7 linked regions of the Sus scrofa genome follow. The protein of the gene in region 3 interacts with the protein of the main gene of each other region in a pairwise test. Links are inferred from orthologs where the notes say so. Each region holds a gene or a part of one and is shown on either strand. Other genes may lie near its edges.

Region 1 (4,086 bases), on a different chromosome or scaffold from region 3:
AAGATACCTTAAGTTCTGACAGAAGAGGAAGAGTTGATGGGATAGCTATAAGAAAACTCAGATCCCTAATCTGACATTTGCAGTTCTATCCTGGGAGAAGATCAACAACAAGACCCAATTCTGACACCGATGAAAAGAACCTTCCCAAATATATAGTTCCAGAAGCAACGTGAAGACTCCTTGAACCACAGTGAAGTTTGCTGAGTCATGAATATTAAATCAGTAACAAGGTCAGATTGGGTAAGTATCTATATGGCACTGAAAGTTGAAGAAAGCCTAGTCTGAATTTAAGGATCTATTGTTTTCAACTGCAGCGTGGAGCAGAAAATGCTAAGTGGCCAGAACACAAAATCCACATTGCATGGCTTTCAGTTCAACTCCGAACTCTACTCTCAGATTCAAAGCATCCTATCCCCAATTCACTCAATCACAACTATCACTGCCATAGCCCACAGGAAAAAAGGGAAAGATGTAGAGATTTTCTCTTGGACACTTGGATGTGGAAAGGACTTCCCAGCAGTCTCACACAGTTAATTTGAACTGGTTATCAATCTCTCCCGCTGTGCTTGGCTCCTATGCTTCTTAGAACAAAAGCAAACATCATATCTTGATCTCAGACTCAATTTAAGAATCCTTTTTCTTGGGGGTGCAAGGACCCAGATGCAGGACAAGATACTGTGGGAAATAAGGCTAAAATTTATTATTTCAACAAAGGTAATACAAGTTTTGGGGAAAAGGATATAAGAGACAAATGTACTCTATCAGAATCTGAAAGGAATTAAGAGACTTTGCCAAGGGAAACAAATGCAATAGAGGAAGGCTAGAAGAAAAAGTCCCATGAGTTAGGAAAGTATGTAGAAAAAAATGACAGAAGGGATCAGCTGGGAGCTTCCTTCTCCCATTTCAAGAGAGTAATGGAATAGGTAGTTCCTGGGATTACACAGGAATATAGAAATATTAGGATAAAAAAAGCAAGACTTAAATCGAGAGGATAAGATGGACTGTGGGTAACTAAAGGCACTGAAGAATATAAAGAAAAATGGTGAGGAAAGTAAGGCAGAAATAAACAGGCATTTGGACTCAGTTAAAAGATGACTACACTGAACTTACCAAGTGAAGCTGGGGCAGAAACTTTCTACTCCAAGGGCAAATATGAGACCCTTTCCAGTTATAACAAGATATGACTTCACAGGGAAGGAGCTGGAGAAAGTCATTTCCAAGGGCACAAAGCTGGAGACGTCTCTTATAGGAGGAAAAGCTTGGGGGAAATTGAAGGAAAGGGGGGCTCTTCTCCTCAAAAGTGATGTTACAAAAAGGTATCTCTGAGCTTGCTCCTCAGGGTAAAAGAAAGACTAAGACAGGAATCAGGAAAGTCTCTGGAACAATTGCAGGCATAAAGTCCAAAGAGGTTCAAAATAACAAGAGTAAGATCAGTCACATAAAGAAAAATGCCTGAGAGGCAATTGGGGTCTCCCTCTGGCTTAATCTAAGTGGGAAAACCCCTCCTACAAAAAAAAAAAAATGGATTCAGAACAGATAAAGAAGGCGATAATAAAAGGAGTTCTAAAAAACCAAATCCCAGGCAACGGAGGGAGCTGAAATAAGTAAACAATGATCTTTTAAAGATAGTCAGCTGCTCCTAAAAAAAAAAAAAAAAAAAAAAAAAAAGGAAAGAAAGAAAAAAAAAGGCTATCAGATTCCCAAATTGGGTGAGTTGGCTAAAAGTCTTCCAGAAGTGGAAAGAAATGCTTTAAATAAACAGAGAATCCTCATGAGAGCCCCTTTTAGAGATCAGGGCTATGAAGCTCACACTCCTTAGGATGAAACTATCCGAAGGATCTAAATGTATCCGAGGTCAAAGTGAGATGACAAACACAAAACCACCCCTAGGGAGAACGGTAGACCAGCTAATCTTGGAATAAAGGGGTGGGGTGAGAGACTTGTGAAAAGATGCCACCTTATGGCTACGAGGCAACTTGACTGGTACAGCCCAGAGTTCCTGAGGTCAAAGATACTAAATGTCATAAACAGATTCTGACCGTTTCTCCTTGGGTTGGGAACAGAAATATAAGATGAAAGTGGGGTGAGTCTTTCAGAGCCAGTAGGCAGAGGCCTCTCCGAGGAAGATGAAAGGATCTAATATGGGACGGCCTTCCCAAGGGGGCAATAGGGGAGAATAAAGAGAATTCTCCATGTGCTAGGACTGTGGGGAAGACGTGATGAAGATCTAAGGTATGTCTTCTACTAGGAGACAGGAAAAGTCAATGAGACGCTGGGTAAATGGGGTCTCTTCTGGGAGGTGGGGGGGGGGCGCTGATCTAAGCACAATTAATACCCTGATGTTCTTTCCTGAGATGCGGGTGAAGGCAGGCGGAATAGACGGGCCAAACATAAGACGAAGGGGTTTAAGTTCCAGAGGTCTCCCCCCCCACCACCCCGAGGGCTGCGGGTGGGAGCAGGTCTAAGGCTCTAAGGGTCGGGGCTTAGCTCCAGAACCTCAATGCCGCCCCACTCTTCCCCGCTCCGGCTGGAGAGAAGGGGCTGAAGACCCGCGTTCCTGGCCGGCGCGCCGCCTCACCTTGTAGAAGGCCCCGTTGGAGCCGCGCACCTCGACGGGCAGTCCCGGCTCCACATCCCCCCCGAGGCCAGGCCGCCCATGGCGCCGCCACCGCCTCCGACTCCCCCGGCGGCGGCTGCAGCAGCGCTCTGAGTACGGGCCGGGCCAGGTCCCCGGCGTCTCCCCGGAGGAGGAGCCGGAGGGGGAGCCGCGGGGGGCGGGAGCCGGGCCGGCCCCACGGCGGCCCTGCCACAGCCAACGAGCAGGGGGCCGGGGCCGGGCCGCTCCCCGTCCGCCGCCGCCGCCTTGGTCTCCGCCACCGTGAGGGAATCGGCCGCCGCCGCCGCTGCCTTCGTCACCTCAGCTTCCGCCCGCCGCCGCCCCCGCTGCTGCCTCAGTCCCGGGACCCGCTGCTGCCGCTGCCGCTCCACGGCCTCCACCTCCCCCTGCCGCCGCCGCCTACTGCGCAGGCGCACCGGGCACCCGCCCGCCGCGCGCGGGCCCCGAGGGCCACGGCGCAGGCGTCAAGGCTGGCGACCCAGCTCGCGCTCGCCAGCGCACCAGGGCTTCCACACTTCTTTTCACTCTCTCGCGCCCCCTCCTGGTCGCGTACTTGCGCTTGCGCAGAACCAGACTGGCTCTCTTTCTCCGTCCCCCCCACCATTCCACCGCCCCCATCTCTTCCTTTCCCCGCCCCACAACACTGAGAGCTAACCAATCATGGGGAGGGAGGGACCGAGCTCACTCAATCGGATTGGATTTCTGCTGCTCCAGGTCAGACCACACCCCCTTCACCACAGTGCACTCCACCGGGCTTGAACAAGTTAGGGATGGGCATGCGCCTGAATGATTGCTTGGTCACTTTCCCCACCTTTGTCTTTCTTGGTGCGCACGCTCCAAATGGGAAAAAAAAAAAAGTCGAAATGCCCCCCCAAAAAAGAGCCTGGTGCGCATGCGCCGGGTTTTACGGTCCACACGCCAGTCTGGACTCTTCTGATCGCCTGTAACTGTGCGATGAGGTTAAAGTCTTCTTGCCTTAAGAAGATTCTGATCATGCATATGATGAAAGGTTAGAAAAGAATTTCAAGGCAGTACCAAAAGGCAAATGCAACTTAGGTTATTAGCACAAGATTTGAATCTAAGTGTTGAGGATATTCAAAATAGGAAATATTAGTACAGAGAAAGGATGGTAGAGGGAAAACTTTGGATTCTTAAACCAAGGTAAGTAAGAAATTTAGGTAGAAGTGAATAAAATAGCCCAGAAACTAGAATCCTGTGTTGTACAATTAATCATTTAACAAATATTTATTTAGCCCTCCCTGTGTTCCAATTACTGTGTTAAGTGGTAAAGATACAAAGACATAACGTCCCCAAAACAAGGATTTTATAACATATTGAGGAAGAGGCAGGCAGTTAAACAAGTTTAAACAAACAAGCGCATGGAGTCCATCTGAAGATGTGATAAAGGAATACAGTGGTGCAGAGGAGCAGAAAGAACATGTCCTTTGGGGAACCACAACTAGTTCAGA
Region 2 (4,215 bases), on a different chromosome or scaffold from region 3:
CCCTATTGCCTTCATCATAAAGTCAAAGATCCTTTGCTTTAAATAGAAGGATCCTCTTCTGCCCATCCCCAGCCAGCCTACCTCTCTAAGTACTTCCATTACACAACCTGAATTGATGACAATTTCCTAAAATATCATGCTGTTTCTTAGCTGGATGCCTTTGCATATGCTATTCCTTCTGCAAGAAATTACCTTTCCCCATTTCTACTCCTGGTTGTCTTTTACATCTTTTCATGTGTGTCAAACTCACATAGTTCCTCCTCCAGGAAGCCTTCCCTAACTCCTCCAAGTATTCATGTCCTCTGCACTGCTTTGAACATTCATTTATTTTGTATTTGTCACATTATCATAGTTTTATTCACTTATCTCCCTTTCTAGAATGTTAACTCCTTGAGGGCAGGGACTCTTACTGAACTCTAGGTCTTTAGTATTTAGCACGGTGCCTGACACATGAGTAGTTGCTTAGGAGATATCAGTTAAATTGAATTAAATAACTTAATTGTGAAATTATAGGACCTTGTACTCCGTTGAAAGAATTTCAGGCATAAATGACATGGGAATTTTTTTTTTTTTTTTTTGAGCAGAAGAGTGCTGGTGCAAAGAGGAGAAAGGATGACCTAAAATTAGCACTATTGATATGGGCGCTACTCCCTTTAAATGGGCTATGTGTAAATTTGTCATATAAATACTAGTATTTCTATAGATATTCTCATGAAGACACATATTCTATCTCCATTACGGGCTGCAAGCAAGCAACCTCAGAGTGCCAAGTGTGGAGTTTTGCAGAATAGAAATAGAAGGTATTGAAAGAAATGCCCTTGGTTTGCTGAGAACACTTGAAATTAGCTTTTATGTGGCAACAAGTGGAGGATAAAGATATGCCCAAATTTTCCTAAGAAGTGAGAATGAGAAATCGTCTTTTTTGACCTCATGCTCACTGCTTTTTTGGCACCATAAATAGGGCTCAATTGCGTGTGAAATGAATTGAAACTATCAGTAGCACAAGTGGCTGGGCTGCGTTCTAGGTTCTTAATACTATTGTCGGAACCCCACCCTCCGGAGACCACCCTTCTACTTTCGTGCAAAACCGGTACTTATTCAGGTCACGGGGCTTCGGCCTATCACTGCAGAATCCAAGCTTGCGGGGCAGTGCCCACTGCAGATTGACGCATGGTGTAAGACAATTTCTTGGGCTGAGGAGCAGCGATTGGCGGATCTCGCCTATAGTGCTTCCCAGGACACTAGGGGTGTGCGTATTGGAAATGCAGGTTCCGGGGCGGCCAGTAACACCGCCCGGAAGTCTGAATGAGGCCTCCTCCGACAGCACTTCCAAACGACCTCATGGCCGCTATTCAGAGTGCCCGGCCCCGGGCAGCGGCAGCGTGCGCGTGCGTGCGTGCGTGCGTGGGCGCGCGTACGCGGTGCCGCCGTCAGTAGGTTGGCTGGTTATTTTGCAAGCGGGAGGGGCCGTGCGCGCTCCTGCCTCCGGCTTCTGTCCCCCACCCCCCCTTCCCCGGTCCCGGTTTCTCCTTCGGAAAGATGTCGGACACGGCAGTAGCTGACACTCGGCGCCTTAACTCGAAGCCGCAGGACCTGACCGACGCTTACGGGCCGCCAAGTAACTTCCTGGAGATCGACATCTTTAATCCACAGACGGTGGGCGTGGGCCGGGCGCGCTTCACCACCTATGAGGTTCGCATGCGGGTGAGTCACGGGGTGAGGGAGACAGCTGAGGGAGGACCGGGCGGCTGGGCGGGGAGGAGGCTGCCATAGGGACGGCTAATGGTGGAGAAGGCACTTGAGGGGTCATTTGGGGGTTGGGGTGTTACAGGTTTGCAGAGAGGTCTGCACATTCGGTTGTGGCCCGAGGATACAGAAAACTCCTGAGGGGGACATCAGACTGGCTTGAGGGAAAGCAAGTAGCCATGAGCAAGAAATGAAGCATGACTGAAGGCGGTAGGGAGGATGGAGAGGATTAGAGTGATATATTCAAGGAAATAGGGATCAGAACTGTAGCAACACAAGGGGTTAAGGAAGAGTGGAAAAGAGCTGGTGATGGCAAGCCAAGGCGGGGGTCCCATTACTAAACTAGGTTGTGGGAAGTCAACCTGAAGAGGGGGAACCGGAAGGCCTGGCTTCCTCCTAATGAGGTCTCCCTGGATGATGGCGTTAAGCAGAGCCTGGATTAAAGGGAAGAGAGACACCAGGAAAGGAAGACAGTGGGCTTGGTGGAGAGACTCTTCTAGGAGAGTCCCCTTGGACTGAGTGCTTCCCAGACTTGCGTAGAATTAACATCTGAAGGAGAGAAGTGTTTTATGCTTAAGTTTTCTCAGGTACTACATGCTCACTGGAAAACCTGACCTTGCACTCAGATTGGTGGCTTGTTAGTTGCTGCCCTCATCCTGTGCTGACCCTTTAGATTTGAAGTATCCAGAATGTTTATTTCAATATTTACTGGCTCTCATTTGGGTTTTCTGTATATAAATGGCCGTTTGCCCTTTCTGCTCTAGGTTAACCTTTTGGATTCATTATATTAATCCCTGGTCTGTATTTAACTTTAACATCTGACATTTCAAGACTGCCCCAGGAATGGCTTCTTCCAGTGTGCACTACAGAGGACTTTATTCTCTAGTTCTTAGTCCACAACGCTAGGGTGGAATGTGCAGAGTACATGGTTTGCAGGTTCTTTGGCCCCATTGAAGTGGTTACAGGCAAAAAGTTTGAGAGCCGTTTTCTAATTTTCCTTATGTTTTCTTCTCAGACTAGAGGGCCAGAATATTCTCTATGGACAGCATGCTGCTCAAACAGCATTTGAAGACCTAAAAGAGTGTATGTGCTTTCATTTTTGATTGAATGAATTGAATGAGAGAGTGTGCTCTCCCATCTGGGTTTTTGAAATCAAATTGAGAAATGATCATCTCCAAATTCAAGTTTGGAGAAGTCCAAACTGAAGAAACGCTGATAGCAAAAAATGAGAAAAACTTCTCTATATCAGGACTGTTCGAAATCATCTCTCTGGGGAAGAATGGGAGGTAGATCCCTCAAAATATGATAAAAGCTGGGAATTGTTAGTGGTAGAGAACCTAATTACCTGAGGAAGCCTGGGCGTAACTTGTTCATTTTAAGAACTCTGCTGTAGGGTTTTGAAGACATTGTCTTGATGTATAACCCAAGAACCATAGGGATTATGAACGGAATTGTTCTCTTCTTCAGACTAGTAATAACTGCAGGGACTGTTCATCTGGTGCCTACTGTGAGCCAGGCACTGAATTACGTTTTAGTTTTTTTTTTTTTTTTTCTATCTTTTTAGGGCTGCACCCGAGGCATATGGAGGTTCCCAGGCTTGGGGTCTAATCGGAGCTGTTGCTGCTGGCCTGTGCCACAGCCATAGCCACGCCAGATCCAAACCGCGTCTGTGACCTACACCACAGCTCACAGCAACGCTGGATCCTTAACTCATTTAGCAAGGCCGGGGAATCTGTGTCCTCATGGATGCTAGTTAGATTTGTTTCCACTGAGGCACGATGGAAACTCCAAGTTTTAGTTTTCAAATTCTTACAAAAACACCCTTTTTACAGATAGGAAGCTCAGGAAGAATGCAGTTTAACTTGCCCAAGTACACATAACTAATAAGTGGCAGGGCTGGGATTTGAATGCAGGTTGATCTGATCCAAAGCCCATCATACTCTTTCCACTACACTTTAGTCTCTTTGGCAATGCTTAGTTGCAAAACTTTAGTGTACAAATTTTTTTCTACCCACTAAGCTTTTCATCAGTCCTTTCCACAATTACAAATTGTATAGCGATGATAGGGTTGATTGCAGTTCCTAATTCTGTGGGTTTGAGTTAATTTGTATTTATGTTAATTTGTATGGCTATATAGGCTTTTAATATTTAATATTTTATTCTATTTTAATATTTTATCAAAAAAGAGGAAAGTTGGTAAAATCATCCAGTTTTAAATTGGTAGGCACTATAGGGAGCCTGAGACTCAGAGAATGGGCTTTGAGAGTTAGGCATTGTGTATGGTAGAAGAAAATGGTACTGACATTTTTTCTTTGTATAATAGCTCAGGGAAGGACCCCCCCCCCCCAAAGAAATAAAGAGTCTGGAGAGATGTCCTAGTGACTTCGCATGATATATATGGAGCTTTTCAATTGTCGGTTTTGGGAGTTCTCTTCTGGCTCAGCAGGTTAAGGATCTGGCATTGTCGCT
Region 3 (4,273 bases):
CATGTAAAAGAGCTCTTATAAATCACTATGGTTTTTTTGGCTTTTCAGGACCACAGTCATGGCATACGGAGGTTCCCAGGCTAGGGGTCGAATCAGAGCTGCAGCCACTGGCCTAGGCCACAGCCACAGCAATGTGGAATCCGAGCTGCATCTGTGACCTATACCACAGCTCACAGCAACACTGGATCCAAAACCCACTGAATGAGGCCAGGGATCGAACCAGCGTCCACATGGATACTAGTTGGACTCATTACCACTGAGCCACAATGGGAACTTCCACAAATCACTATCTTAAACAAGTTAGTCTTTAAAAAAAACTCTGCAGTTTTGATACCAAAGCCAGAAATTACGGGGGAAAAATTATCACTTAATGGTCACCTTCCAACTCTAAGCACTGGGCTATTCTTTATGTACATAATAACCCGTATAGAACCTCATAAAATAAGGATAATTAGATCCATTTTACAGTAAAAAGAAAGTGAGCTCAGAACGGTTGCTTTCCAAATTCTCTTGTGGTGCATCGAGTTAAGGCATTGTCACTGCAGTGGCTTTGGTTGCTGCTGTCGTGTGGGTTCAATCCTTGGCCTGGCCCGGGAACTTCCATACACAGGAGGGCACAGCCAAAAAAAAAAAAAAAAAGTTGCTTTCCCAAAGTCATGTCCTACTAAGTGGCAGCTTTCTGAAAATGAAATTACATCACTTTAAGTTTGCTCATTTCAGGTGGTTACAACTAATTTGTTGTTTCATTTCACTGACTTAACCCCCTACTTCTGAATCCATTAGGAAAGCCTCTTCCTGAAGAGCGGTTTCCAAAACAGCTCTCTGTATAATGGAATCATTTAGATGTTGGCATCATCTGCACAATTAGGAAAACTACGGGTGCTTTCACCAAATTATATGAGGCACAGTAAGCCCAATTTACCTCAATAAAATGCTTCTGACACTTAGCAGACATTGTGGTTAGACTTTAAATTTCTCTGCAAATCTGACAATCACCTGCAAGGAAACTTCTAGGATGAAGCCAATGTGACAAAAAGCCTTTAAACTGATTCTGGTAGAGGAAAAAAAAAAAAATTGGAAGAAACCCATGTATCCTTATGACTGTTATTATAGGGAGACAGGCAAATGATAGGAGACAGTGCCGCTTAACCTTGTTGAAGATGACATCTGTGGAGTTCCTGTCGTGGCTCAGCAGAAACGAATCTGACTAGTATCCGTGAGGACGCAGGTTTGATCCCTGGCCTTGCTCAGTGGGTTTAGGATCCAACACTGCTAAGAGCTGTGGTGTAGGTTGCAGACTTGGCTTGGATCTGATGTTGCTGTGGCTGTGGTGTAGCCTAGCCTGGGAACCTCCATAGGCCATGGGGGCAGCCCTAAAAAGAAAAAAAAAAAAAAAAAAAAATGCTGTGCCACACTGATCACTTAGGTGGAACCTCAATATTTCTGACTTTATATACTATGTTTAATAAGTTAAAAAAGATTATCATGTGCCAGAAACTCTGCTAAATGTTTTCTGTGTTTATATTTTAATCATTTCTCGTAACAAACTGAAAGGAAGATGTTATTATTTTCATTTTATAGATAAGGACACTGAGATACACAGAGGTTAACAGATCTGAATCTGGCAAATCCAAGGCCAAAGGCCTGTCCTTAAAGCCACACTGCTCTGCAGAGAGAGCAGCAGAGCAGAGCCCATATCGGTTGTCTCAACAGCTGTGTAAACTTGGGCAACTTCTTTGTGCTACAATCAATTCTTAAAACGAAGCTGGCTGGGGCTAACTAGGCTTACCACAGAGAAGAGGTTTTTGCTGTGTGTGTGTCATGGGGCAGAGGTCATACGTTTCTAAAAATCAATGCAAAACGAAAATCATGCACAATCAAAACTGCCCTGCAAAGTCACTTAATTCATTAGCACTCTCCCTGGGGAAAATGCAACGTAGAAAATGGACTGATCCTTCCTTCCCTTTTGCCTAGATCCTGCGTGATTCTCAGTGAGGTTAAAATTGTCTGCCTGTGATAGAACCTCACTGCATTTCCTTTAGACCCCTGCTTACTCGAAAGTCCTCCCGTGACCCTCCCCCTTCCCCAAAGGTTTATCAGTTACAGACTAACGCCGAGACCTCCCATAGTCCTTCCGGCTGGACTCTTACTTTCGGTTCCCAGCGGTGAGTTTGCAGCCTCGCTGCCGTGTTAAGCTGTGCCAGCTCTAACAAATTATCGGCAGCAACCCTTTGACCCTCAACCCCTGACCAAATACTGGGGAAAAGGGCGAAAGGATGTCCTGCTTAAGATGAAAGAGGGAAAACCCGGATACCGCTGGGGCCTGGGCCCCCCGAAGCACTCGACAGGGCACTCGCGGCCCTCAGCCAGTGACTGCACCCCAGGCGGGTCCCAGCCCCTCTTCTCTCGCTTCCTCCTCAACCTCTATTCGCGGTGAATGATCACGCGCCCTCGCTCCGTCGCGAACCGTCCCCAAGGGATGTTAGGCGTGGACACGACTAGTGACCGCCAAGCAAGGCTCACCCACGACATCCAAAGGGCAGGAGTCGTCGCCTGCACCTGGGCACCGGGAGAGGAGGCCGGGCCCGCGGCAGGTGATAGGAACGAAGCCGCAGCGCCGTCCCATGGAGCCTAATATCCAGAAACCCAGCGCATTTCCCTCACGACGAAGCCGCCAGGACTCACCAGCAGATTGGTGCTGCGATTATCTCCCTCTGCCATCGTCCCTGAGGTGTCGTCTCTAGGAGCGAAAGACGCCACAAAACCAAGAGCTCTCTCGAACCCCTTAAGGCTACCCTGGCATCAGGGTACGCCCCGCAAGCCGCTTATATAGGCTGGATGCCTTTCCCGACAGACCCCGCGAAGCTCGCTCCTCATTGGGCAAATCAAGATGAAGCTGAAGCCGGGGCGGCCAACCGCTGTCCAGCGCATGTCTTGAAACCGAGGTCAAAGGAGAGTGAGAACGCCGGGGCCGAGGAGGCGGGGACACTGAATGACCAATCAGCGCCCAGGAGGTGTGCGACGCCCCGCCCAGGCCTTTCAGAAGCGGTTGAACGGCCGCTGCCCGGGGCCTGGTGTGGCCTCAGTATCCCCGGGGCCTGTGGGAACCGTAGCTCTCGGACGCTCTTTCAGGGGGACCTCAAAGCAGCCAAGGAGACTCTCCGGAATTAGTCCTCGAGGAAATATGCCACCCAGTATCAGGCGGAAGGCAGAGGTGGTCATGTGACGCTAACTTCATTGTGATTAAGGGGGCCGGCTGGGATCCTCTTAACAGAAGCAGCCTGTGGCCCTCGCCCCAGCTGTTCCCCGTCGGCCCCGCCTTCTGATCCCTGCTCCCGCAGCCTTGAGCAGTTTAGCCTGGATTTATGACTCGTGCCCATCTCGTGAGGTTTCGCGGACAAATGAATAGGGCTATTTATGTAGATTTTTTTTCCGCAATGTTACTCCCCTTTAAGGCCTTAGTTTGATGGGGGTAGGAGAAAATCTTGGCGTAGTTCGACAACTTGTGAAAAATGCATTGACTTAAAAAAATCGGCTTGTTTATATAGGGTGTTTGGGGAAATTCTTTGTGGGGTAAACTACGAACTCCCTCTCCAAAAAGGGACTTGTTTTGACAGATCTTTTTACATTAGAGGTCATGCTAAGGAAAGATGTCAACTCTCTCATAAGGGTGGAATGAATTGGAATTTAAGAAGCAGATGAATGCCAGGGGAGCGGCCAAACAAAAACAAAAACTAGATGAGCTGTGTTGAGAAATCTTTTCTCTCCAGGACTTCACAAAAATGTATTTAAAAAATGCTTTCATTTTCATTGCTCGAAATATGCTAAATGTTGACCTGGTCAGATGTCTTTTTGAGGAAAACTTAGCATAGCTTTTAACTTTTTATAGTCTTCTATATTATGCCATCGTTTGTTTTTGGGTTTTTTTGGTATCTCATGTGGCATTTTTTTATTATACTATTAACCAATTGTGTTTTTTTTTTCCCCGCTGTACAGCATGGGGACCAAGTTACACTTACATGTATACATTTTTTTCCACCCTTTGTTCTGTTGTGATATAAGAATGTAAGTTTCTTTTTTTACTGTGAAAAAAAATAAAGCATCTGATCAGGTATAAACACTTGGAGGGAGATTAAAAAAAAAAAAAAAGCCTCTGCAAGGGAAGGGGACTGACTCTTCAGTAAAGTTCCACTTAGGGAAATGTTGGGGAGAAAAACAGGTTATGCAGGTAAAATGCAGCCAGTTGATATATCCCATTTGGGGAGATTTTAGT
Region 4 (4,282 bases), about 8.2 Mb from region 3:
CTAAAAACACAATATTAAAATTAAAAACAACAACAACATAGCACTAGAATAGAAAGCATTAGTTCAAGTACCATTCCTAAAAATCTCACATCCTGGTAGTGGCCAACAGTGTCTTAGGATAAATTCCCAGGAGCATAGTGACTGAGGTACGGGCTGGGAACCCTTTTAATACTGTACCAGCCCTTCTTAAGGAGAGCTGATGGGTTTGGAAGGACAGGAGGACAAACATCTTGGCATGTTTCTCATTGTAAAAATGACAGTTAAATTACAGAATAGTACATTGGCTAAGTGCACACTTTCTTGGAGTTTAGTTCGGCTGGGTTCCTCAATCATCCTGATGCCAGTTTTCTCACTGGTAAAACAGAGGAAATAATATTCCCACAGAATAACATTTGGCACTTTGAATGTGAACCAATATGAAGCATTTTCACAGTGCCTGATCCATAAAAAAGCTCTAGATCTGAATTTTCCAACCTCCCCTAAGCCTAAGAAGGGTGTATATATGTATTATGAATAAATATAGCTTTCTTGTCTGTGCCCAGACACTACTGAATCATAATCTCCAAGGAGGAATTAAGGAATCTATTTGAAACAGACACCGTAAATTGAGTCTTGGGATCTGATGAGTTTCAGAAACATTAATCAAGGTTAAGCAGCTGCTATTATCCTTGCAAGGTGATGAGATGATGGATGTGAAAGTTAAAGGTCATTTGCTATCCTTGCACTCATTCATTCAGTCAACAGACATTTATTGAGCACTCACTGAGTGCCCCGCCCAGTGGTAGGTGCCAGGGACACAGCCGGAACAAGACAGGCTCAGGCTGCCCTCAAAGGCACCAGAGGCTGGTCCCTTACCTGGTCATCTATAAAACTGGGTGGCTGGGGGGGACGACGATCAAGGGAATTACTCCCTGGGCTGCTGAGAGGCAACAGGGGTGGACGGCAAACTGTCTCCGCAGGCTGCGAGCCAGGAGCGAGGGTCAAAGACCGTGGGACCTGGAGCCTTCTGGACCCCGTTCCCGCCTCCTACCTAGCTCCCTTCCTTTCAGACCCAGACGCCAGGATCTGTCCATGAAGCAGATACTACTACTTCCATTTTATAGATGAGAAAACAAAGAGTCAGCGGAGAGAAGGATCACACTAGAGCCCCAACCCCGAAAGACTCCCAGGATCGTCTTCCCCCTCAGAGTTGCAGGGCCTGGTCCTACCTCCAGCTGCGAGATCTGGCCACCAGATGAGTCGCCAGACACGCGCAGTGGGTGGGACTCCACGGGGTTCGGGGCCAGGACGTTCCTGGGTCAGCCACATCCGGGCCGCCGCCTCTGCCTCAAAGAGGGTCGAGACCGTCCTTACGTACCCAGCCTCGGTCTCCCTAACTCTCACGCTAAGTGCCCGCACAGCCTGTCGCCCTGGGAACTACAACTCCCATGAGCCTCCGGGGCGCAGGTGTGCTTTGCGGCGCTCATCGCCCCCCGGCGCCACCAGAGAGAACTGCGTGGCCCCTGAACCCGCGAAGGCCAGGGGCGTCTGGGAAACTTTCTTCATCCTTCCCCACCCCAGAGGCACCAGCGTCTTCCTGGACGTCTTCGGTCCCGAGCCCGGAAGTTGACAGGGAGGGTCATAGAGACTCGGGGCTAGAAGTGCCCAAACTTGCCCTCTCGGCCCTCACTTCCGCCGGAAGCCGCTTCCAGCCTCAATTGCCCTTTGCTTGGTGCACGCGCCGGGGTCCGTGCGCCGTACCCACTGTTCCCGGCGCTCGTAAGACCACAATGGCGGCCGCCACCCTGCTGCGCGCGACGCCCCTCTTCAGCGGTGAGGGGGCGGGGAGGGCGATGGCGGCCCGGGAGTACACGGGGATCGTCGGGAGCGGCCAGGCTCAGACCCGCGCCCTGACGCCAAGCTTCTGCCCCGGCAGGTCTCGGCGCTGGCCCAACATCACTGTTGCAGGGTCTGTTGCGGCCGCTGAAGGCCCCGGCACTGCCCCTCTTGTGCCGCGGCCTGGCCGTGGAGGCCAAGAAGACCTATGTGCGCGACAAGCCCCATGTGAACGTGGGTACCATCGGCCATGTGGACCACGGCAAGACCACACTGACCGCAGCCATCACGAAAAGTAAGCGGATTTGGGGCGGGGGGGTCGGGCATTCGGCAGCGCCCGCTCTGCAGGCGGGACGTGGCGCCGGGGAGGTGGGGCCCGCCGGAACGCTGCTGGAGGTGTTTAGCATGGGCCCCAGGAGCCTCACCTTGGGTGGGCGGTAGATTGCAAGACTGGGGAGACAAGACTTCCCGTCGAAATGAAGAACTTTGTGATGCATAAATGGGGGGACCCCGAATAGCCTCCCTCCAGCCCGGAGGAGTGCCCCGTAAAGCAGAAGCGTTACCTTAGAGACGTCCCAGGGCTGACCCTTGACGCCCTAAAAGGTGAAGTTATTTCCGTTCCAGGAGTCGAAGACGAAGGTCTTGGAAGCTTGCTTTCTCCCAGGCTGTCTCCCGTTTGGGTGGGAGGGGCCCAGAGGTGTGGTCTGAGCCCTGCCTCTCCCTCCAGATCAGATCCTTAGCTGAGAGGTGTGCTCTCCTCCCGTTAGTTTTAGCCGAGGGAGGCGGGGCCAAGTTTAAGAAGTACGAGGAGATCGACAACGCCCCAGAGGAGCGAGCCCGAGGGATCACCATCAATGCGGCCCACGTGGAGTACAGCACTGCCAACCGCCACTATGCCCACACAGACTGCCCCGGTCACGCAGATTACGTTAAGGTGAGAGAGCTGCTGGGGGCAGGCCCTGGAACTGCTCCCCCGCGCACCCCCCCCCCCATCGGGAACAATGTTAGGCTTGTGGGGAGGAGGTTAAGAGAGCCAAGATGTGTGGGTTTGAGATCATGGATTTGGGGGCCTGGCCAGTGGAGGTGGCAGGGGGAGGTGGGACCCCAAGTCACTGAACTACAGTTTTCTCTCCTTTCCTCACCCAGAATATGATCACAGGTACTGCCCCGCTGGACGGCTGCATCCTGGTGGTAGCAGCCAACGACGGCCCCATGCCCCAGACCCGAGAACACTTACTACTGGCCAAGCAGGTACCCAGAGCCAGGGTATGGGTGGAAGGAGGAAAGAGGGCAGAGCCTTCACTCACAACACCGTTGCTCCCTCTCCCGCCTGCAGATTGGAGTGGAGCACGTGGTGGTGTATGTGAATAAGGCGGACGCCGTTCAGGACTCTGAGATGGTGGAGCTGGTCGAGCTGGAGATCAGGGAACTGCTCACAGAGTTTGGCTACAAAGGGGAGGAGACTCCGATCATCGTGGGCTCTGCCCTCTGTGCCCTTGAGGTGAAGGCGGGGTCAGGCCGGGCATCCCGAGCTCTGCTCTGAGTCTGGGGAGTGGCTCTCGGCAAGTTAAGGGGAGCAGAATGGAAGTTTCAGGGTCCTGTCTACCTCCCGCCCGTAGCAACGTGACCCTGAGTTAGGCCTGAAGTCTGTGCAGAAGCTGCTGGATGCTGTGGACACTTATATCCCAGTGCCCACCCGGGACCTGGAGAAGCCTTTCCTGCTGCCTGTGGAGTCTGTGTACTCTATCCCTGGTGAGGACTCTGCTCGCTCACATTCCTTCTTCTCGCAGAAGCTTGCCCAGGGTCCCTGATGTCCTGTCCTGTCCTGTCCCCTCCCAGGCCGAGGCACGGTGGTGACAGGCACGCTCGAGCGTGGTATTTTGAAGAAGGGAGATGAGTGCGAGTTCCTGGGACATAGCAAGAATATTCGCACTGTGGTGACAGGTACAGGAGGCCCTGGGCCCCTGGGGCTCCAGGCTGCCCTCTCCCCTTGTGGGCCACTTGCTCCTTCCTTCTGCCCCACACCCTCCCTCGTCTCTCCTCCCTCCTAGGCATTGAGATGTTCCACAAGAGCCTGGAGAGGGCGGAGGCCGGCGACAACCTGGGGGCCCTGGTCCGAGGCTTGAAGCGGGAGGACCTGAGGCGTGGCCTGGTCATGGCCAAGCCGGGTTCCATCCAGACCCACCAGAAGGTGGAAGCGCAGGTGAGGGCTCCGGGCGGGGTGGGGATGGGCCGGGCACTGTGGGCAGATGTGGTGCTTCCAGCCAAGCCCAGCTGCTCCCTCATTCTCTCACAGGTTTACATCCTCAGCAAGGAGGAGGGTGGCCGCCACAAGCCCTTTGTGTCTCATTTCATGCCTGTCATGTTCTCCCTGACTTGGGACATGGCCTGTCGGATCATCTTGCCACAGGGGAAGGTAGGGCACATGTGAATGTGGGTGACTTTTCCCTGGTGAAGAAAGGCTGGA
Region 5 (2,955 bases), on a different chromosome or scaffold from region 3:
TTCTCAAAAAGAACACATAAACTAGCTTTATAGGTGAATAGTCTTGCCCTTGCAGAGTCAGCCAGGGAAATAGCCAGTTTTGCTGTATGTAAATCATAAAGCATCCAAGATGAGGATTCTTTAAGTTACATTTAAAAGACTTAAATAACATCTATTCTATTTAGTTATTCAAGTAATTGTTTTCTTTTTCTCAAGAAAGCTTTATAAAAATATGCCAGAGGAAAGTAAGACTTGAACAAAGCAAGAAAGCCACTGGGGGCTGAAGTTCATTTAAATCTCTCAACTGCAGAAAATCAGTTTTAAGAAGCCAGTGCTTAGATATCAAAACAACCAAACCAAAGCTAAAAGCCTCAAATGTACACAACTATAGTGACTATTAACCAAGTTTTACCAAAATTATTCGTTAAAAATTACAGATCACTCAAAAACACACTGAATTTAGATCTAAGGCAGAAGAAATACATTCTCTTGTATAAAATAAGAGCTGCAACAAACCAAAGTTGATGTTTTCATTTTTAATGTGAAAATGATGACCTCATGAAGTTTACATACCAGAGTATTAGGCAATACTTAATATCAATTTTGATGGCTGTGGTAGCATCATCTAAACGTTATATGACAATTGGTGGCACGTAATATGCTTTTCAAAACTGCTGTAAAACAGAAATAACATGAATGCAAGTACATATTGCCAAGGAGCTGGGGACTGCACTCAAATGGGTGGCAAACCTTACATGTTAGCAAGATTAAAAAAAAAATTGCTGAATCTTTTTTTGTCCTGTATTAAACTAATATGTCTTAGATGGCAAAGTAATACGGTCCAAGATACATTAAATCAAAATATTTGCACAAAGTTCAATAATGTTTTAGACCAAACAGAAAAAACAAAAGGCAAAATTAAGGAAATCATTCGTATTCTAATTTTTTTTCTGTGGGTTCTTAGATAAAAGCATTTCAAAGACTTAAAATAATGCAGTAACTTTTAAATTCCTAGTTAAAATGAGGTGAGGTAACATTTAATTAAAGCAACAAGTTATCCCAGCTATGTAAAAATATCTTCCTGTTAAATTCAGGGATATTTTGTACCATTCAACAAGGAAGAAACTTAGACAATTATCTCAATAAAATTCTGCCTCATCTGAAATTTGCAGTTCAATGTAGTTTATCTAAGACACTTTATCTTTGGGCCACTAAAAAAAAGACATTTTTATCAAATTATACCAATCCTCAGGCAGATGCCATAAAAGAAAGGGCTTTTTAAAAAATTAATTAATTCTGAAATTAGCAAGTTCCTATCCTTTTCTAAATTATGGCAATATTTATTGGCAAAATTTATTAATGTTTTTAAGATCCCACTTTTAACTTAAAGATAAGGAACAATTAACCACCACTGACCATCACAGAAAGTTCTCTTGTGATAAGAAATTGCACATTAAGTCAGAAGATAAATCGTTAACCTGTAATTCTAATTACACACAGATAATGAAAACAAATTATTTGTTTCCAGAAACCACATGTGAAAGCTGATTCTGGACAATGCAAATGCATTTCTGAGTCTACATATTGCAAATATAAGCAAAATGTCTAGCACTATTTCTGGCTTTTTCTAAGATGTAAACATTATTTTAACATGTCTCTATTCATAAGATACATTTTCCATCTAAGTATGGAAGAGAATACTGGAAAGGTTAAATAAACACTCTTCAAATATTTCAGTTAAAGACCCCCCAAAGCAAAGCGTCTTCCCAAGGGCAGGGGAGGTACCCACAAAATACCAGCTGCCTGTCTGAGAAGCAGGCTGTCTGCCGAGGTGGCTAACGTCACACCTGCTGTGTTTCGGCCAACACCGCCCCAGCGAAACCAGCAGAAAGGCTCTATCTGGATTTTAAATGCTACCTACTTACCTATCTTTTAAAATGCAGTAAAATCAACTAGTTTTTTTTTTTTTTTTTTTTTTTTTAAACACATACATCCTTTCATTTGAGGGCAGGATCTTGTTTTACCAACAGTATGCGCCTATCAAGGGGAGTGCTGCATTCACAGGCTCGTAGCTTTTTACAGAAGCTTAGCCAAAGTGGGACAACATAAAAATACCACTAATAAACAACACAACATCTTTATGAATTTAAATACTTAACATGACAGGGAGCTTTAGGTAAGAAGAGAATATGCGCAAGCTTTCGTCTCTGCGACGGGACCTAATTTGCTATTCCTAGAATGGTAACATTGGAATTATTTTTCAGGATTCCTGCGGAGCTGTGATCATTTTACATCCGTGTGAACTGCTGTCATCACTACTGTGTCCGAACCCAGAGGATGAACTGGAAAAGAAGAGAGGGGGAAAATAATAAAAAGAGGAAATTGGTTTTCACAACACACTCAAAGGCTGAGTAACAGAGGAGAACTTTAATTATCTCCAGTCACAAAGAGAGACAGGAAATTTGGACTTTTAATTAGCCATTTGGAGTGCAGTTGGATATTTTTTTAGCTAGATAATTTAAACGCGAATAATTCAAGTCTGACTAAATGAAAGTCACATAATCAGAATGCAGATAATTGAATTTCTACCGCATTCATTAATTCAGTGTGGAGGTGTGTGTGAAGACTCCTATGATGAGCTGTCACAGCTCAATAAAATCTCAGTCAATTAATTTTTTCATTATCTTAGTATGACATCAACAAAAAAGTGAAGTGTGTATATATCTCCACACATGCATATGTGCACGCCGTGTCACATAAATACGTACACAGTGAATCAACATGCAAGGAGATACCTTTCTGAATCATAATCTATATCATTTTCTTTTTTCCCTTCCTCTTCTTCAGGGAAGCGTCTGTTCATCAAGGCAAACTTGTGAATTGCTTCTTCTACAGAGTACTTCGTCTGCCCAGAAACACAGGCCTCAATGTCTTCTGAATTCAGATGGCTCTGCAAGAAGAGGTGGAGGCTGCTGT
Region 6 (4,143 bases), on a different chromosome or scaffold from region 3:
TGTGCCTGTGAGAAGTGGGCAAGTTCGAGGGCTCAGGGTTCCTTGGGTGTGCGTGTGTGCCGGGGGCAGGGACAGAAGTTACCATGGGGACACCGGGGCAGAGGGATCTGGGGAGAGGAGGGGCAGAGAGAAGAGATGGTGAGGTGTTTGGAGACCTTAACCCTGGGCCAGGGCTTCAGACTAAGGAGGGAGGGAGTGCCAGCTGGGGAGCGAGGAACCGCGAGAGCAGAGTGAGCACCTTGCTGAGAGCTCAGTCCCAGGAAACCCATCCTACCTACTCAACAGCAGAGTAAACCAAGTACCCAACAGCGTAGGTGACACGCCCCACCTGGGCCAGGGACCCAGAGGGCCACCATCCCAGAACCTCAGCCCATTCCCACCTGGGCAACATGTGTCACTCTCAGACACAGTCTAGCCTGGACGACAGGTCCCTCGTCCTGGGGTCCAGCCAGGGCCCATTACCGTGTGCCCGCTCCCAGCACCATCATGACGGAGTCACGTGCATTTGTAAAAGCCATGTTTCTAATTATCCACCAACGCAACAGCCACAGAACACAGATTGGCCATGGCCTGCTAGAAGCCAGAGGGACAGTTCTTTTTTTTTTTGCCCCCCCCCCCGCCCCTAATGGCATATGGAGTTCCCCGGCCAGGGATCAGATCCGAGGCACAGTTGCTACCTATGCTACAGCAGTGCTGCTGGATCCTTAACCCACTGCACTGGGCCAGGGATCGAACCTGCATCCCAGCGCTCCAGAGACACCGCTGATCGCACTGCACCACAGCAGGAACTCCGAGAGGGACAGTTCTTGATGGCTCCCAGGGTGGAGTAAGAATGCAGGAGTGTCCCTCGGTTGCAGGTGGTAGGATGGGAGTGACAGTCACAGAGCAGGCTCCCTGAGGTGTCTCCTCCAGGGAGAAGGGCCGTTGAGTCACCAGAGGCTGAAGGCAAATGGTGGGAGTGGGGACAGGCCAGGCCCATGCAGCACCTGGAGAATGCTCTCGGAAGACCCCCGGGGCCAGATTCTCCACAACGGCTGGATTCTGGCTCTCCTCTCCACCTGCCCTCACTCCGAGGTCCCACAGCGCTCTAAAGAGAGAGCAGGGTTCTGGCCGGTGACAGCAGGTAAAGGTAGGGGCAGATGAGCTGGACTGCGCAAGGCCCACCCTGTGAAAGTCTGTGGCCACAGCTCCTCTACCACCTGCCAACACTTCACGGGAGGGCCGGTTGGGGGCACGGAGGCTGATCCACTAGCAGAAGTGAACCAGGGTCCTATTCTCTGCTCACACCCTGGAACTTTCTGGGTCAGACTCTAGGGGTGAGGATGGAGGTGCTGGCGGAAGGACACCATCAGCCTGCCCACAAGCCCTACGTAAGAGCCTGGGTGGAGGCCCCCCTCCATCCTGCCTACTTAGTCATTTGCTTCTGCAGAAAGCAGGGACCCCAGACCCTCTGCCCACCCCTCAGGGGGACAGGCAATGAGATACCAAGACTCCTAGAACCCAATGCTGCCTTCGCCAACCAGTCTACGCAGTCTACACAAACGTGAGCATCTCCCCCTCCCAGGCAGCCTAAGGCCCAGGGTGGCGTGACAAGAATGCGGGCCTGTGCCAGATGGGGCATGTGCCCGGCAGGCCTGCTTGGGCAGGACTACAAGTGTGTGTGTGGGGAAGATGGAGAAATGAGATGCAAGCTGGAGGGTCCTTCCTCCAGCGGACTGTCTAGAGCTTCACTGCTGACAAACTAGCTGGTTTCACTCACACCTGAGCCACAGAAACCTGTATTGAAGGGGCTGATCCTGGAGATCTGGACTGCGGAGAGGGAGGGAGTGTGGCTAGAACTCGCCCTGGGAGGTGGAGGAGACTTGCAGCCTCCTCAGGGGGCAGGGCTGGGCCCCCAGTGCTCCTGGCAGTGAAGGCAGAGCTGGCAGCCAGCGCCGGCCTCCGCCCGGGTTCACTCGCATCCTGGCTCAGATCTGTGGTTGGGCTTCATCCAGTGAGTCCTGCTCCAGGAAGGAGCGAGGCTGGATCTGCAGGAATAAAACAGGCGGGGAGCGCAAGGGGCCACCGCAGGCTTTTGCTCTGGGCCTTCCAGGGGCCCCATTCCCCAAAGGATGCGTGGGGGAGGGCTCCTCGGCCGGGGGCCTGGGGGACGACGATGGGCTCAAGTCTTCAGTGCCGCCCCTCTCTCACTCACCAGCGTCCCTTACCTTGAAGGGTCTGCTTATCCCCACCACAGAACGCAGGCTGTTGCTATAGTAAAAGAGGAGAAACCCATCCTCAGTCTCAGGGATGTCGCTGAGGCTGATGTATACCTGTGGGGGCGGGGACAGACAGGAAGGGGGTCAGGCCCACAGCCCCAGGCCCAGCTCTCAGTGACAAGGGAAACTGGCTCTGTTCCTTCCAGAAGACAGCAGCCCTCAGGCAAGCCTACCTGCTGGAGGCGCGGAACACCTAGCTCAGGAGAGGGGGCAGGTACCTGGTTCAGCTGGTCGCCGAAGGAGACCTGGTTGTCCCCGACCCAGACATATGACACATAGTCATTAATGTGGCGCAGCCCCACCTGTGGGAGGGGGATCAGGGGGTCAGTGGTCTGGGAGGACCCAGGCCCCACGTCATATCCTAGGGAGAGGGTGGTCTCATTTCTGGGGCTGATCCTCTGCCTCCTCGGTGGGCAGGCACCCCTGGGGTGGAAGAGGGAGCTCCTTAGTCTCTGTGCCCTGCCCCGCCCCCACGAGCTCTTAGACCCCGGGGTGGGGGCCGGGGTGGGGGCGTGGCCGACACGCTCCCTGCCCCGCCCACAGCATCACCTTGTACAGTCCGATCCAGTCCCAGGGGCTGCTGAGGAAGTCCGAGGCCAGGGAGTAGCTGATGAGCAGGTCGCTCTCGGTGGTACACGGGCCCTCGGGGAGCAGGGTGATCAGCGGAGCAGATACCAGCGGCTTCAGCTACACACAGGGGAAGGGGGGTGAAATCCCACAGCATCATTCCCTTCTCAGAGAGAAACAGTCCATGCTGGGGCCTCCCAATAGGTCAGGGTCAGTGCGGGGAGGAGGGGCACCCAGGGTGCGGGCAGAGATCTCCGCAAAGCTGCCCTGAGGGCATCAGACCTTGGCTGGCCAGCTGGAAAGAAAGGGCCAAAGGCTTGTCGGACAGACAGCTGGCCCTGCCAGGGAGGATGGGACTGGGGCCAGATGGGTAACCGAACAGACAGCCAAGTGCTGAGGGGTGAGCGTGGGGGTGGCGAGGTCTGGGGAGGGTGGGGGGTTGCTGACAGGTGAGAAAGACGCTGCTCTCAGGCCTCCAGGGTTTCCGACCCAAAAGGTGCAAACCCAATTTGGGGGCCTCTGGTGAGCACAGCTACAGGCACAGGGAGTCATGATGGGATAAAGATGGACAAATAGCATGGACAGGTGAAGGCTGAGGGCAGCCACAGCTCAAAGGAGGTCAGCAGCAGCACCCTGGCCATCAGATGGCCATTACAAGCACAAGGACAGAGGGGCTCCCTTCGCAACCTGAGCCAGATGGGTTTAGGACAAATGAAAGGAAGTCCTACCTCACCCAGTAGGTAATAAGCATAATGGACCTCAGGAGCCCCAAGGGACAGAACCAAGAGGAAATGGAAACCTATTGACAAAGGGTTTCAACAGGTTTTTGACAGACAGAGCCATCAACAAGAAGAGCCGGGACACCTGAGCTGGGAGGCAGGGCAATCGTGTCCTCCCACAGGTCTCCCCTGGGGGATCTGCTGACACTGCAACCAGGGCGGGAGGGTTTGGGGACATGGCCCAGGGTGGCTGCTCCTCTGCCAGGTGCTGCCAGGCGGCTGGGCCGTTTACCTCCAAGTCAAAGGTGCCGGTGACAGGCTTGTGGTCACTGATGCTGTACATCATGTGGCTGACGTAGCTCCTCAGAACCAGGGAGAAGTGGGGCCCTGGCAGTGTGGGGGGGTGGCAGTCGGCCTGGGGCTGCCGCTTCAACCTCCAAAGGATGCGGTCGGTCCACGCAGGCTTGCGTTTTTTCTCACTGGGGGTGGGGGCAGAGGAAGGATGGGAGGAGAGGGGTCGGCACCCCCACGAGCTTAGAGGAGCCCCGCATGGCGGCAGGGGTGCCCCGTGGAATCAAGAGCATGCGGGCCTTTGTCAG
Region 7 (4,048 bases), on a different chromosome or scaffold from region 3:
GTTTTTTTAAGTATCTGAGGTATTGTGATAATCCTTTCTTTGTACCACTAGAAGTTACAACTTGAAATATCATCAGCTGTGAATTATGTTGGTAATACAAATCCCTGCACAATCACGAAGATTCTCACATTTAAGTATTTTTCTTTCCTGATACTGTCACTTAGAAGATCCTTAACTGCCAAAAGGCCACTAGAGTTCCCGTTGTGGCTCAGCAGGTTAAGGACACGATGCTGTCTCCGTGAGGATATGGGTTTGATCCCTGGCCTTGTTCAGTGGGTTAAAAATCCCAAACTGTGGTGGAGGTCACAGATTCGGCTAGAATCTGGTGTTGCCATGGCTGTGGCTTAGGCTCCAGCTGTGACTCCCATTGGACCCCTGGCCCAGGAACTTCCACAAGCCACAGGTGCAGCCATAAAAAGAAGAAGAAGAAAAGGCCACCAATTCCTGGTCAAATCCCTACCTACACCGCCACCCATCCAATCACATACCGAATTTAAATAATACTTATTCAAAAGTGGGAAAATGCAGTTACTAGGGAGTATGATTCACAACGAGCAAGAAAATTCCTTAAATTATTTAACATGCTCATAACTGAACTATTTTTATAAAATATACACTGGATGAAAGATACAGAGAAACTAGAAGAGGGTCAGAGAACTAAACAAAAATGTTTATGAGAATTTGCTAAACTCAGTGTGTAAACCTAGACAAGATTCCTTAGGCCCCATACCTCTATGTCCCCAGGTACAAAAGCAAGGGGCTAGACGGGAGATTTCCAACTCCAAAGCTGTACTATTTAATGTGAGCATGGAAAAGAAGAGAAGATGTTTAAGACAAAATATTAGGCATTTCTACATGGAGACACAGAGATTTTTAAAGGAACTTCCAAGAGGATAAAAACAATGATTAGAATGGAGACATATTTGTTCATCAAAGCCTCATAGTCTAAAACCTAGCTAGACAGCACCCTTTAAGACTCATAAGAAGGAAGCTCAAGGCCAAAAAAAGACATATCAGAAAGCAAACTCATAGAATTCACTATCTCTAGGTTGAAAGTACAAATATTTAAAAAGAAAAAAAAGTCTAAATCAATTCATTTATGGTATGTCTGAGGTTGCCTCAGAATACAACCTAAAACTCTGGAATTAATTCATGAAGTCAATCAACCCCCTCCCTTTTCTAGTGTCAATGTTGGAAGGAATGGTCCAATGTTTATGCTCTAGAAAAAACTGTAGAACAGATTCAAGCACACAGACTCCGAAGCCAGTTCTGGAAATTAAGCCATAACTCTGACCTTACCTGTGTGGTGACCTGGATTAAATTACCATTCTCTTAGCCACAAGTTCTCCATCAACAAGGTGGAGATTAATGACTTTTTACAGTGATGCTGAAAAGCCTAATGAGAGATACGCGTAAAATGCTTGGAACAGTTCCCGGCACACAGTATATGCTCCATACATTAAACTGAGCCCCTAAAACCAAGTTTCCTTAACGAATTTATGATTAATCTGTCTACCCCAATTTTTATTCCCTTTTTGTTCCCACCAATCTCTAACTGAACATTAATCAACCAGTCAGGTAACTAAAATTGCTGTCGTTGATAACATCACTAATGAACTAAACGTAATACTGCAGATGTCATCATTAAAGTACAAACTCAGGTTGTTTCTCCAGGTCAAGATGAGCTAATAGGCCCTGGAGCCACGGACCATTTGGCAAAAGAATCAGAAACAGGAGATAATCTGAGTCCCTGAAACTAGAATTTAAAAATGTCACAGAAATTACAGAAGCTGATGATTAATCCCAGCTTCTTTGTTCTTCCCCTTTAAAAACACTCCAACTCAAAGACCAAGCTGGAATAGATCTGTGACTTGTCTACCACTCCCTCGCTTGCACTCTGCAAATAAACCCTTACTTTGCTGCAAACAACCCCTTGCTCCTGTTACTACACACACACACACACACACGCACACGCACACGCACTACACACCCCACATACACCCCACCCACACTCCTAAAGCTAAAAGATTTTTCTTCCCAATTGGTAATTACCACTATTAAACAAAACAGTACACAGCTACTTGGAAGACATGAGAAACTTCCCGGCTGAGTCCCAGAAAAGACCAGTCAGCAAGCACTGCTGGTTATGTGAAGCCATTCCCATCTATGACAGCTCCTGAGGCACAAAAGTACATCTGAAGGGCATTCCCCTCCCAGCCCAAAGGCGGGCCGAAGAAGTCTCGGCGCACTGCGCCGGTCGCGGGAGCAGCAGGAGAAAGTGCTCGACCCCCGCCTCGCCACTAGCTACCCATCCTGGCTCTCCTCCGCCCCCTCGGAAACTGGACGAGCAGCCCGGGCCAGATGGCCACAGCTCTTCGCAGAATGAAGGCGGGGACAGAAAGGCGCAAACATGAGCCGGCTCGCGGTCTTGGCAGGCAGCACTCCCGGGCAAGCCTCCCGTGGGCCCGGAGTGGCATCTCTTGTCACCCAATGTCACTGACGGTGGGGTGACCCCGAGCCGGGCCCCGGATCCCTTCACACCTCGCCCACAGGTGCCAATCCCCCACGTCGCCCTTTCTCCTGCCGACCCTCGAAGCGAGAGCCGGCTCGACCGCAGTACCTGGGCGGCGGTCTGCAGTGCCGTCCGGGGTCGGTGATTCCTAAGGGTGGCGGCAGCCAACAGCCGGCTGTAGAACATGGAGGCCGCCATTTCTGAGTCTGACCCAGGCCCCCGGGCGCCGGGCGCAGGCGCAGAAGCTCGAAGCGACCAGAGACGCTGCGCCCCGGGACGCGCGCACCGCCCCTGGCCCCGCCCATGGGGCGGGGTCTCGGGTTAACTTCGCAGTGGCGGGACACCCTGGGCAGGCAAAGCAAGAATTGCTGCTGAGAAGCTGGGCTTGGCTTGCCCAGAGCAAACTTTGACCTTTGTAACCGGACACCGCAGCCTCAAGGTCCGACCTGCAGCCGCTGCTCAGCCACCGAAGTTTTCCTAGCAAAATGTAGTAGAGGGACCACCAGCGCCACCACCTGTGTGATCTTAACCTGAGCCTCAGGTGGTGCCCCCTCTGTAACTTGGGGTTCATTCAGAAAATAAGTACTGCAAGTCTGTTTTGTGCTGAACACTGCAGCTGAGCTTTGGGTTACAGCAGTGAATAAAACAGTGATTCTGCTCTCAAACAGAAGATGGACAGCCGCTAGTTACTGAGGACTGTAGCCAAGAGACAGTGTCTCAGTAGGAAAACCGCTCTGAAAAGGTACGGGAGTGTTAGTCCGTGTGCCTTATGCACAGTGAGGCCAAAATGAAAGGTTGGAGTTTGGAACAGAGAAAGGTTTATTGCAGGGCCAAGCAAGGAAAGCAGATGGCTGTAGCTGAAAAGACCCGAACTCCCAGATAGTTTTCAGGGAGTTTTTATAGGAGAAATTTGGGGTGAGGCCTGAGGGGTGGAAGGCTTTCTGCTGATTGGTTGGTGGGGTGATAGCAGGGTGCTGTTCCATGAATCATGGGCTGAGCCTGAAATTACCATACTCCACCTGGGTGGATGCCTTAGTTCCTACAGAAGAACTCAACGATGCTCTTAGGTTTATTTATTGAGGAGGAACAGGAATCCTGCTTTAGTGGCTACGCTGCAGTTAGCCACTGCAGTGCATTTCCAGTTAATGCACAGGAAAAAGTTTTTGTGCCCAGGATCTTGCCTGGTTTCAGGAGAAGCCAGGATGCAGGAAGATTTATGCTAAGAAAAAGAACATGAAAGTATTATGGCTGATCACAAAGAATAGACATCTCAAGTTAATGATTTTAGTACTTTTCTAGTTATGGGAAGATGCTGGCTTCATTGAAATTATTCCTTAGCTGCATCTTAACTCTCTAGGGCCAGTATCCAGAGAACAGAATGCTTCCTGTTTTCCATCCTGAATCCCACTCAGGGTGGACCACGGGGGAGGAAGATGTCTGAGACAGCAGTGGCCGATGATGGCTTGATCCTTTTCGAAATGAAAGGGTAGGTAACATTCTTTGTTCACTGGAAAGGCATGCAACATTCCCTGACCA

Evidence for each region.
Region 1: the proteins of ARL6IP1 (region 3) and FXR2 interact in binary tests that used the Homo sapiens proteins (3 or more experiments, as listed by UniProt). The two-hybrid records come from large-scale screens. The link is inferred for Sus scrofa from reciprocal best matches to the Homo sapiens genes ARL6IP1 and FXR2.
Region 2: the proteins of ARL6IP1 (region 3) and SNX12 interact in binary tests that used the Homo sapiens proteins (3 or more experiments, as listed by UniProt). The two-hybrid records come from large-scale screens. The link is inferred for Sus scrofa from reciprocal best matches to the Homo sapiens genes ARL6IP1 and SNX12.
Region 4: the proteins of ARL6IP1 (region 3) and TUFM interact in binary tests that used the Homo sapiens proteins (3 or more experiments, as listed by UniProt). The two-hybrid records come from large-scale screens. The link is inferred for Sus scrofa from reciprocal best matches to the Homo sapiens genes ARL6IP1 and TUFM.
Region 5: the proteins of ARL6IP1 (region 3) and SNX10 interact in binary tests that used the Homo sapiens proteins (3 or more experiments, as listed by UniProt). The two-hybrid records come from large-scale screens. The link is inferred for Sus scrofa from reciprocal best matches to the Homo sapiens genes ARL6IP1 and SNX10.
Region 6: the proteins of ARL6IP1 (region 3) and INPP5K interact in binary tests that used the Homo sapiens proteins (3 or more experiments, as listed by UniProt). The link is inferred for Sus scrofa from reciprocal best matches to the Homo sapiens genes ARL6IP1 and INPP5K.
Region 7: the proteins of ARL6IP1 (region 3) and SUCLA2 interact in binary tests that used the Homo sapiens proteins (3 or more experiments, as listed by UniProt). The two-hybrid records come from large-scale screens. The link is inferred for Sus scrofa from reciprocal best matches to the Homo sapiens genes ARL6IP1 and SUCLA2.

The regions. Positions count from the first base shown.
Region 1 is NC_010454.4:52,900,458-52,904,543, forward strand, and holds the start of FXR2 (fragile X mental retardation syndrome-related protein 2), read right to left. Parts: upstream 2,801-4,086; 5' UTR 2,579-2,800; intron 1-2,578. UniProt on the Homo sapiens protein: mRNA-binding protein that acts as a regulator of mRNAs translation and/or stability, and which is required for adult hippocampal neurogenesis. Specifically binds to AU-rich elements (AREs) in the 3'-UTR of target mRNAs.
Region 2 is NC_010461.5:57,105,837-57,110,051, reverse strand, and holds the start of SNX12 (sorting nexin-12), read left to right. Parts: upstream 1-1,415; 5' UTR 1,416-1,539; coding exon 1,540-1,704; intron 1,705-4,215. UniProt on the Homo sapiens protein: May be involved in several stages of intracellular trafficking.
Region 3 is NC_010445.4:26,759,172-26,763,444, reverse strand, and holds the start of ARL6IP1 (ADP-ribosylation factor-like protein 6-interacting protein 1), read right to left. Parts: upstream 2,801-4,273; 5' UTR 2,722-2,800; coding exon 2,686-2,721; intron 1-2,685. UniProt on the Homo sapiens protein: Positively regulates SLC1A1/EAAC1-mediated glutamate transport by increasing its affinity for glutamate in a PKC activity-dependent manner.
Region 4 is NC_010445.4:18,521,906-18,526,187, reverse strand, and holds the start of TUFM (elongation factor Tu, mitochondrial), read left to right. Parts: upstream 1-1,482; 5' UTR 1,483-1,769; coding exon 1,770-1,812; intron 1,813-1,915; coding exon 1,916-2,110; intron 2,111-2,582; coding exon 2,583-2,749; intron 2,750-2,961; coding exon 2,962-3,066; intron 3,067-3,151; coding exon 3,152-3,316; intron 3,317-3,434; coding exon 3,435-3,567; intron 3,568-3,654; coding exon 3,655-3,759; intron 3,760-3,866; coding exon 3,867-4,018; intron 4,019-4,111; coding exon 4,112-4,231; intron 4,232-4,282. UniProt on the Homo sapiens protein: GTP hydrolase that promotes the GTP-dependent binding of aminoacyl-tRNA to the A-site of ribosomes during protein biosynthesis. Also plays a role in the regulation of autophagy and innate immunity.
Region 5 is NC_010460.4:46,064,075-46,067,029, forward strand, and holds the end of SNX10 (sorting nexin-10), read right to left. Parts: coding exon 2,775-2,955; intron 2,322-2,774; coding exon 2,240-2,321; 3' UTR 501-2,239; downstream 1-500. UniProt on the Homo sapiens protein: Probable phosphoinositide-binding protein involved in protein sorting and membrane trafficking in endosomes. Plays a role in cilium biogenesis through regulation of the transport and the localization of proteins to the cilium.
Region 6 is NC_010454.4:47,717,398-47,721,540, forward strand, and holds the end of INPP5K (inositol polyphosphate 5-phosphatase K), read right to left. Parts: intron 4,024-4,143; coding exon 3,837-4,023; intron 2,946-3,836; coding exon 2,808-2,945; intron 2,561-2,807; coding exon 2,222-2,560; coding exon of another isoform or gene 2,208-2,221; intron 2,028-2,207; coding exon of another isoform or gene 1,968-2,027; 3' UTR 501-1,967; downstream 1-500. UniProt on the Homo sapiens protein: Inositol 5-phosphatase which acts on inositol 1,4,5-trisphosphate, inositol 1,3,4,5-tetrakisphosphate, phosphatidylinositol 4,5-bisphosphate and phosphatidylinositol 3,4,5-trisphosphate.
Region 7 is NC_010453.5:19,615,167-19,619,214, reverse strand, and holds the start of SUCLA2 (succinate--CoA ligase [ADP-forming] subunit beta, mitochondrial), read right to left. Parts: upstream 2,801-4,048; 5' UTR 2,711-2,800; coding exon 2,621-2,710; intron 2,198-2,620; exon of another isoform or gene 2,053-2,197; intron 1-2,052. UniProt on the Homo sapiens protein: ATP-specific succinyl-CoA synthetase functions in the citric acid cycle (TCA), coupling the hydrolysis of succinyl-CoA to the synthesis of ATP and thus represents the only step of substrate-level phosphorylation in the TCA.